2 linked regions of the Schizosaccharomyces pombe genome follow. The gene in region 1 interacts genetically with each later gene. Each region holds a gene or a part of one and is shown on either strand. Other genes may lie near its edges.

Region 1 (5,530 bases):
CGACTATGAATTAGCAGAGGAAATTGAGAGGCGTCGTCATCATAGCTTTTATGATTATTAGCTATACTCTTCCGTAAGTGCGCGCAACAATTTAAAAATTGCTTGGCGGAATATTTGAATTTGCATGTTTTTGTTTTAACTTATAAAGAAAATTAAGTACCTTTAGTACTGGTAATGTTTGATGTACATTTATTATAGTAGATAGAATATTCATGTTGCATAAATTGGTTTCGCACTTTCAGTTAACATTTTCAAATTCATTTATACATAAATACTTTTTTAGATGATTAATAAGAGGCGTTTCATAAATAGTATAAGTACTTTGTAAGCCTATTCTAATGGATGTGAATAAACAAAGAGACTATGGATTATGTGAATAGTTATATTACTTTCTTATTCGATAATCAAATTTTAAAGCTCCCAAATGCAAGATTATTGAAGAAATTTTGAAAAAGTTTCTTTAGTTAACATTAGCATGTAAAAGACACATAAACCCTAATTGACTGTAACATAAGAGACCTTTTACTTACGTCTACAGCGATTATTCTACTGGACTTAATAAAAGCAAAATTCGGACGGTCGAAACAACTCATTTAGACGTATGAGTCTATTTATTGTAGGTTAGCTTTTTGAATGAATATTACATATCATTATTTTTCTCTTTCTTTCTCTAACTACTAAAACCTAGGGTACTCATAACATCAAAAACTCAGCAATACAACTTTTAAAGACGAAACTGAAAAATGAATTTTTAAAGGGCGTTAAATGTATTACTAAATATCCCGAAAATGCACATAGCATTTTTAAAGTTCAAGAATATACTGGATACAAGGGAGTGACCTTTATAGTATCTACCAAATGGAATCTAACTGTCGACTCAATTCATAAACTAATTCCTGAAATTAAAAGCTCTCCGAGTGCATGTTTACTTTTAGTAAACCAACCATACCCAGTTATCGAAAAAATAACTGATATTCTTACAAAACATGGGATCACGAATGCAAATCTTTTGGAATTTTCAAAATCGTCTTTGTTGCATCCTTTTAAAAGGAATAGACACCTTCTTTCATTCGTGCCTTATCCTATGACTGCTGAGACATTAGGAGACATCTCGTGGTCATTTTCTCGAAGAGAAAATATGAAATTTGAAAAGGACCAGCAGTATATCTTATCAAAATTTAAAAGTCCACGAAATTTATTGATTCCTTACCCCTCTTTCCTAATTCAAAAGTTCTTGGATATGGCAATCCTTCCTCCTATGGCAGCTTTAAGGATTTTGTTTTATCAGTATTCTAAAGCTAGCACGATGAGCCTTACAGATGACTTTTACAATAAGTATGTGCTGGAGAATTTGAATATAATAAACAATTTACAGATTTTTCTTCATCTTGACTTAGAACCTTTACATATCAAAAGTCTTGCTAAAGCAAGAAAAAGATTTTATGAAACTGACTTGAAAACAACATTTTTAAATGCATTTTCCAGAGACGAGTTGTTGATGTTGGTTAATTATTTTATTTTTCGGGGCACCGAGTTAAAACTTTCTGTTTCCATGAATCTCGCTTTTCGTGACATTCTATTATCATCGGCTTATTTGAATAAAACCAAATAATACTAACGAAAATTACTGGCTTAATGCTGCTTATAATCTTTTTATATAGTATTTTATTTCACGGTCTGAGATTCGTGGCATGAATGCTATAATGCTAGTAACTACCGATGATTATTCATTAAATAAATGACTGTATCCTGTAGAAACAGGATATTATGTTGACAGAGTTTAATGGTCATTTGTAAAAACTAATTAAAGTAATAAGTAAATACATTTTTAATATAGATAAGTGGCAGAATAAAGTGAGGGAAGCTTTGTCGTTTAAGTTGTATATTTTTTTTTAAAGCTGGGCAGTAAATATATTTCATATTTAATGAATTTGCGTCGCCGCCGACAGCATCAGAAACCATCAATTTTTTATTATACGGCCGGAGAATTTTAAAAGAATAAATATAAAATACTGATTACTCCCTAAAGCTGGCTCTAGACACGAACGACATTAAGGCGAACCACGTGGAATTTTTGGTATAGAGGCGTAAAGTGTTCACTAACCACCTAGCATAAACCCACTTAGGAGTGTCAATTGAAAACTGTAGTGCTTCAACTAGTGAATTGCAATTGTTTTAAATTATTTTAAAACAATTGATCATATTTGTGATGATTCATTGAATGAAGTAAATTAGATTTTTTATGGGCGTGTGTTGATTGTTGCGATTAACATCAGCGACACGAATATCTTCAAATTTTATTATCATTTTAGAAAAGAAAAGTTATTTTTTAGAAAAATAAAAAACAATGGACGGAAATCGTAGAGTGCGTTTCAATACCGATAGACGACCTTACCTCTCTCCCTTACAAACATCTTTTCCGAGTTCCACTTCGTTTCAGACCCCTACATTTTTAATAGAAGAAGATGATGAAGATACAGAGGATGATGATGGACCACAGGTTCTTCCTGTTCATAGGGCGCCTTCTCCTGCTGCTTTTCGCAAAAGAGGCTCTATAACTTCCATGGATCAATATTTAGTAAACATGCCGGCTGTTCCAAGTCCTACCGCATCAAAAGTAGGCCTATTGGATGCTAGGAATACAGACGTTGAAAGCTATGCAGCTAGCTATAAAACCCAAAGTAGTTCAAATTCCGTCAATAGCTTACCAATGCGTAGGCCTACTCTGGATAGAAGCTACTCAGCACCTATGATCGCTGCTAAAAATTTACAGAGCGATCCGGAAAAAATGTCTAATGTCGAATCAACTAATGAACTACCCTCTACTACAACAGAAGCGTACAAGCTTGTTGCTGCTCACACGGCAGCTCGATTAGAGCATATGAGGCTAAACGCTTTGAAGGCCGCTAATGATGAAGGAGAAGATGTTAAAGATAACGAACAAGATGACAATATAGATGAATCTGATCCATTTGCTAATCCTAAGGCTTCTTATCGTGGCGGCGTATTGTCAAATTTGCTGAAGTTGTATACAAATTCTAATACAGTTACATCCAGTAGGATTTCTTTGAAGCACACTGATCCTACAAAATGGCAAAAACACGCTAAAAGGACTGCTTCTAGTAATTCACTTACAGACCTTTTGCACGCATCAAATCAGACTTTTATGGCGCCTGCTTCTGGCTTGCAGTCTACGGAGGAAATTCCTCAATTCTCTAAAACAGGTCATTCTCGTGGTAGAAAATTTAATTTTCACCATCACAGTAGGAAGAATTCTGGTTTGAACGAAGAATATAAAATCACTATTCATTTGGCTGACATTTTACAACGCCAAAAATATATTTTAAAACTATGCCGTGCTTTAATGGTATATGGTGCTCCTAGTCATCGTTTAGAAGAACATATGGCTTCTGCAGCAAAGGTTCTCGAAATAGAGGGACAATTTTTGTACATTCCTGGATGTATGATAGTGTCATTTGGTGATGTTAACACTCATACTTCTGATATGCACATTGTTCGTGTAAATCAAACAATTGATCTTGGGCGTTTGAAGTTGGTCCATGACATATATAAAGCTGTTTTGCACGACCGTATGGGTGTTGAGGAGGCAATTAGAGGTTTAGATGAAATTTTTAAATCTCCTCCTTATTTTAGAACTTGGATACTTGTTGTTTTTTATGGTTTTGCTAGTGCCACTATTCTGCCGATGTCTTTTCAAGGCGGATGGATTGATTTGCCTATTGCATTTATATTAGGTTGCCTCGTAGGGATTCTTCAGCACTATATCGCTCCTCGTTCAACCATGTATAATAGTCTTTTTGAGGTGACTGGCTCAATTATTACATCTTTTCTAAGTAGAGCTTTTGGTAGCATTCGGTATTCTGGTGGTCGTCGATTCTGTTTTTCTGCGCTTGCGGAGGGCGCGATTGTGTTAATTCTTCCAGGTTATATCGTACTTTGTGGTTCGCTGGAGCTACAAAGTAAAAATATTGTGGCAGGAGGAGTTCGAATGTTTTATGCCATCATTTATTCTTTATTTTTGAGTTTCGGTATATCAATTGGGGCAGCTCTTTATGGTTGGATGGATCATAATGCCACTGACTCAACTTCATGTCCGGTATCTACTCAAATGGATGATAAATGGAAAATTTTGTTTGTTCCCTTGTTTACTTTGTGTCTTTTAATTGTAAATCAGGCAAGGCCCTCTCAATGGCCTGTTTCGATTTTCATATCTTGTGCAGGCTATGTCGTTAATTATTTCACCGCCAAGCATTTCGGATCAAATCCGATTGCGAATGCAATTGGTTCTTTTGCGATTGGTTGTTTGGGTAATATATATTCACGTTTAGGTCGAGGAGTTGCGTTCGCTGCTGTATTGCCTGCTATATTTGTTCAAGTCCCCTCTGGTTTGGCTGCTCAAGGTGGTATTTCTTCTGGCATTGAAGTTGCTACTTCTTTAACGAACAATACTTACAACACCTCAAGTTCTTCTACTTTGGATGTTAATTCTTTAAAATTCGGTTTGGTTATGGTTCAAATTGCTATCGGAATTTCTGTTGGCCTATTTGCGTCTGCATTGGTAGTGTATCCTTTCGGAAAACGACGATCTGGCTTATTTAGTTTTTGACAATATTCGTTTTTCAATTTTTTCAAAAATTCACATTTTTATAAAGCTTCCTCTTTACTGGTTCTAGAAAATCCGGAATTTTTTTCTTTAAAAAATATCAAAATTTAAATCTATTTTGATCTTTATGGCTTAAGTTATGCCGTACTGAGACGTCGGATATTATTTATTAATCAACTTCACTTGATTTTTTATTATTTATTAGTATTTCCTAGCATATAGAGTATCATTTTCTCTGATTATTAAAAAAATTAATCAATTTATTACAAAGATTTAGCAGAGCTTATTGTAAAGATTATATAGAGCATGAGTACAACTTCTCGTAAATAATTCTGATATATAATTTATGCTGTATTCGTGATTTGCTGATGTTTTGAATAACTAGACTGCGTTTTGTATATTAAAAGACTTTATTGACGCCGCTTGAAAATATTAATATTTGTAGGAAAGCATAAAAAAATCATGAGTTTATTGAGATATGTAAATAACGGTAAAAACTTCCTAATGTATCTTAATAATTCCTACTAACAAGCTATTATTAAGTTCAATAATGCTAAACTAAAAATATCTTAGTTAAGGAAACTTGACCTACTATCACCTCATCCCATGGTAAGTAATGTTTACCCTGACTCTTACCTTCTTTCCAAGCTCATATTATGAATGAAGACAAATTGGAGTCCAAATGGTTATTTTCATTAACTGAATCACAAAAATTGTACCTTTTAATATCTCTAATAATTAATAAGAAATTACCTGAAGCTAAATTTGTTTACAAGTTACTGGATTACACTAAAGGCAATTGGCTTTCACTTTTACTTCGATTCCTTCCTGAAACGACGGATCCAGAATGCTACATACCATATATAGATATTGATTCACACTATGGTAATATAAAAGCTTCTGTGA
Region 2 (5,174 bases), on another chromosome or scaffold:
TCCGTTGTAGGTTTTATTAGCACAAGAAAATGCGGTTGCTCCGGCTGCACTATCCGTAATCAAACTCGAACTGGAACGTGTCCGTGAACTGCCAATTAAATGCTCATCCAAGGGAAGCCTATAACCCTCTTTATCGTTTAGAGTCTCTACAAACGATCTAGTCATAGACAAAGAGCCAGGTCCCATTCCTTTAAAAAAAGTCAGTCACCGAGAAATATTGTAAAAAAAAGGAAGATTCCGTCCCAGTGCTCTAAATATAAAAAAAATCATTTTCCTTCAAAAGAGCAACGGATTTATGAGAGAGCTTACTCCAATCACTTACCGTCAGAAACCATCATAATAACAAATTTTGGTTTCTCATTGGTCCCTTTGGACTTATGAGACGAGAAAAAATAAAAAAATATAACGGTTGATAAAACAAGGATTAACAGAATTCCATGTTTTATCCAAGTTTTCCAATTTCTACGAGAAGGGCTCTCCGGACCCTCGCCATGCACTGGCAGAAGAGGATCGCGCTCAGATGCCATTGAAAACTATTTAAACGGTAAAAATTGAATATCTCTAAAAGAAGGGATGTCAAAGGGTAAAGATCGTTTCAACGCGTATGACTTGTTGATGGATAGTACAAATTTTTGGTGTTGAAACAGCTCAACCATACATTGCATGACGTCATGGTTTAAAGTATTAACTCTCCATGTCGATCCTCGCTATCTTAAATCTGATATCGGATAGTATATGCACAAGTTAATCGAGAATGGCAATTCACCAAGTCCACAAGAAATAGCGTGATGGTAAAACTGTCTATATATACATGTAATATCTACTGTCAAATGCAAGTAGCTGTTGAAAATATTAGAATCAGCTGCTGACATGAAAATCCCGTATATCCAAAATTCGATGCAATTACCTTTCGACTATTATTGAGATCTTGTCATTAACGAAAAAAAATATATATAAGCAAATGAGTTGTGAACAGAAAATAAACAAACAAGTAAAGGACTGAACTGTTACTTGAAAATAAAGTACAGTGTTTAAAGTAGAAGACACATTGATGACTTATGATGGCAGTGAATTTTGAGGGTAATAATAATAAGAAGACAGCATTTTAAATCAGTGCGATATTAAAGGATCAATTGTTTTATTTACTTCATTGTTCATATGAACTTAAACATTATTTATATTTTTATTGTACAAAGAACGTGAAATGGAACTTTTGGAATAAAGAGTAGCTAATCAGGAATTAACATTTGGGAATTCCTAACCATCCAGGTATCGAAACCAATCCTTAAGCTAAAGATTAAACATACAAATAGCATTATTTTTTTGAACGACGGTAACTTCATAAAAACCCAAACAACCAAGTCTTCAAAAAATAATTTAACTGGATCATATAGCTGTGGAACAAATTTTTTCAAAAACCAGAAAATTAAAAAAATGTGGGTGCAAACACTGAGAACAGTGCTTGCAGTCTCCCATCACATACCACTTAGCAGTCCATTGGCATATGCCATTGGGCGAATGTTAGGATGGGGAACGGCTTCAAATTGGTGGAAATCCAACTCCATGTCTTCCTTAACTTTAATTACGGCACCAAGATTTCCGGTACTATCACAATAATTAGGAGCACTAAACACAGTAATACAATAACCATCGTGCTCAACTTCGTAGCCTTGATCTCTGACTTCATGAGAACGGATCACTGCTTTAAGACCATTAGCCTCGCAAAAACGTTTTGAAACATCAGGGCCGAATTGTAAACCCACCCCACGTTTCGATGGTCCTCGTCCTGGAGCAGGTTGTGGATCGGTCCAAAGCATTTCCATCATTAACCCAGATTGTCCAGGTTGCTTTTTACTAAATCTATCAATGTTTCGTAGTTGGTCTAATGTTACGTTATCATCAGAAAATAGGCCACCATGTACAACAAGATAAGAATCGGAAATTAGGGAACCAAGAGGTAGCAGAGAAAAAGTTTCCGAGAAAATATTAAATGTCCTCTCATTATACTTACTACGACATTCACCTTCGAATCCGTAGACTTTGTTCATATCGTCAGTTTCGTGATTACCGCGATTGATGAAAACAGCGTCCGGATATAATAACTTATATGCATAAAGAGTAAAAGCGACTTCAGTGGACCACGAACCACGATCGACAAAGTCACCATTGAATAAATATTTGTTAGTAGGGCTTGGAGGACCATGAAGTTTGAAAATGTTTAACAAGTCAAAATACTGGCCATGGGTGTCACCGCAGATAACCAATGTCTCATCCCCTTTAACAGGAATGTCAATTAAAGAAGGAGTTTTTTCAAGTAATTCTTTTAAGTCTCGCAATATGCTATATGCAAATTTTAGGGGGAGTTTTTTACCTTGGCAAAAGCGTTCCTTCATGTCTTCAACAAACTCTTTCGTTATTTGCTTTTCTAATATTACACCATCATAGTCAGAAGGAATGTCCATGTCTTCAATGTTGATATTCGCAAGTGGTGAAGGAGGTTCAGTATTATGAATAGCCTCCTGAAAACGAATCCTTTTGACCAATTGCTCACATTCACGAAGCTTTTTACGAGCAGCTGGATCACTGGGTGCTAGTGCCAATGCCTTTCGGAAGTCACCGACAGCCTCTTTGGGTTGAAAAATAGCAATATGAGCAGTAGCTCGACGAAAATATGCCTTTGCATATTCGGGGTCGCATTCAATAGCTTTGGAAGCATCATTGATTGCCAGACCATAATCCTCTGACTTTAAATGTGCAAGAGATCTATTGGAGTAAAGAATTGCGTTTGTAGAATCAAGCTCAATGGCTTTTGTATACAAATCTATAGCTTGAACGATATGTCCCTCTTTTAGAAACTTGTTGGCTTCATTTTTTAATTCCAATGCTTCTTTAGCCATTTTATTGAGCAAAAAGTACAAATTCAAGCCCTTGTGAGTTTTTGTTTGGTGGTTGATAGTAGCTAAAAAAGTTTTTATCTGTCCGAACAATGCAGCTTAATAATTGGTAGTATTGGGCTACAAAGAAACAGATATTTAGGATTCTCAAAGATCAAAATGATATTTTTAGAACAACAAATTAATGGCTTTATAAATGCAAACTTTGCAACGCAGCATACATATTAAAAAATAAATACAGAATTTACACAATGTTTTACATTAGAAATCTCAAAAACTTACAAGCGTAATAAAAGCAGTTTCTATGAAGTGTGTCTATTCATTTATCTACGAAATAAAATGACTCGAAACTTATAATACATCAATACATCTCAGATGAGAAAAACTTACAAGGCAATCATTATGTAAAGGAAATAACCATTGTTTTCTAAACACAAGTGATACCGGACAATCTTCGTATAGTTCAAAGAAAGATAACAAAAGCAAACGAGCTGTATCCTTCTCGTCTCAAGCACAACGAGTAGAAAGTACAAAGAGAACGTTATATTGATGTTATTCGATCTTGTCTATATTCCAAGATACCCAAATATTTTTTTTTCCTTTTTTAAGATCTGAGCAATCATCTATCAAATGAAATGATGATATAAGTCATTAACAATTTCCAAAGCGGAAAAAAACTGTTTCGTATCGACATGCTCAAGAGGTAGAACTCATCGAGAAGAAAGTGAACTATGTAGAAATGAAAAAAGACTACGAAGCGTTAGAATTTAAAAATTAAATATTCTTTTAAAGAATAACAAGGCCAATGGCTCAATTTAATGTTTTTTCTCAGTATCCATCCAAGCCAAAGTACGACGAATTCCTTCCTCCAAATCCACAATGGGATGGTACTTCAAAACATCTTCTGCCTTTTGAATGTTAAAGTAACGGTTAGCACAACTAAATTGGACACGGAAACGTGTAAAGCCAGGTTCCTTTTTCAAGAAATAACAAACCCATTCAGCAGCAGTGGCTAAGAGCATACCCACCGGTCTAGGGAATTTGATGATATAAGGGGGAACGTGTCCTGCATGTGCCCAAATAGCACGTGCAAAGTCCCAAAAGTAAATAACCTGTCCATTGGTAATGAAAAAGACTTGGCCATTGGCAGTAGGATTACTAGAAAGTAAATTGTCCATAGCCAGAAGATGAGCATAGGCAGCGTTTTCGATGTAGGTAAAATCAAAAAGATTCAAATTATCACCCAATTGAAATTTGGTTTGTCCATTCTTTAAAACAGAAAGCATACCAGGGACGAGTTGGCGATCACCTGGACCAAATAAACCAGCAACTCTAAGGGCAGCAGTTTTTAAAGATTCAGAACTTGCCTCCAAGACTTGTTTTTCTGCCAAAGCTTTGGACTCGTTATAGGCATCCATATGAACTTCTGGGATGGGCTGGGACTCATCCACATTGATAAGGTCAGCACCATTGAAAACTACACCTGCGGAACTAGTATAAACAAGGGCATCAACATTAAATTTCTGGCATGCTTTGATGATATTCGCTGTGCCATCTACGTTCACTTCAAAGTAAATATCACGAGCAAGGTTATGCACAGGTGAAGCAGTGTGAATAACTACGCGTGGATGAAATTCCTCAAAAACACGCTCAATATCACCTTGTTTCGTTAAATCACCCGTATACATGGTGAATTGACCATGAAGCTCGTGTAGCAACTTTTCATTTTCAAAGAGATCAAATGCAGCAATTCGAAGATTTTCACGTTCGCACAGCTGCCGTATGATATGACCTCCTAAAAATCCACTTCCAATAACTAACACGGAATTCATCGGCATTAAAAAAATACAAGAATAAACGATTGTCTGGTTCTTGCCAGGTATTCGACGTTACACCATATCGAGAAATGAGTGAGCTTATTTGCTACCTGTGTTTTTGGGGTGTAGGCTAGATGCAATACACTAACCATGATTAGCGAGAAAGAGAGCAGCTGTTGAATATGGAACATGGGTTAGAGGATAGTAGCCGATTGAAACTCTATTAGTACAATATGTAGTACGCACTTAGAAAACAGAAAAATTAAGTGAGTAACATCTCGAGTACCATTACAAGAAAACGATGACCTCCCGACCTCGTACCGTTCACATCTAAAACTGGCCTATTGTAAAGCAATGCTGCGTGCTACCTTAAAGCTCGATAATGTTGATAGCAGCCAAAACCCAATTTTCGTACTTTCTTCGTTGAACGTTAAACCAATTTATTATTTATAAATTCTATCGT

What was found.
Region 2: mutations in SPOM_SPAC7D4.12C (region 1) and SPOM_SPBC3F6.01C together harm fitness more than expected from each alone (negative genetic interaction), as found in Schizosaccharomyces pombe (one large-scale study listed by BioGRID).

The regions. Positions count from the first base shown.
Region 1 is NC_003424.3:2,612,695-2,618,224, forward strand, and holds SPOM_SPAC7D4.12C (uncharacterized protein), read left to right. Parts: upstream 1-2,112; 5' UTR 2,113-2,347; coding exon 2,348-4,627; 3' UTR 4,628-4,901; downstream 4,902-5,530. Other genes in the region: protein Iss10, read left to right, coding at 1-61; SPOM_SPAC7D4.13C (uncharacterized protein), read left to right, coding at 602-616, 689-1,612; secretory pathway protein Sec39, read left to right, coding at 5,281-5,530.
Region 2 is NC_003423.3:4,183,998-4,189,171, forward strand, and holds SPOM_SPBC3F6.01C (serine/threonine protein phosphatase), read right to left. Parts: upstream 2,962-5,174; 5' UTR 2,898-2,961; coding exon 1,476-2,897; 3' UTR 602-1,475; downstream 1-601. Other genes in the region: pho8 (alkaline phosphatase), read right to left, coding at 1-188, 323-527; erg26 (3 beta-hydroxysteroid dehydrogenase/delta 5-to-4-isomerase), read right to left, coding at 3,710-4,732. UniProt on the Schizosaccharomyces pombe protein: Protein phosphatase that specifically binds to and dephosphorylates the molecular chaperone Hsp90. Dephosphorylation positively regulates the Hsp90 chaperone machinery.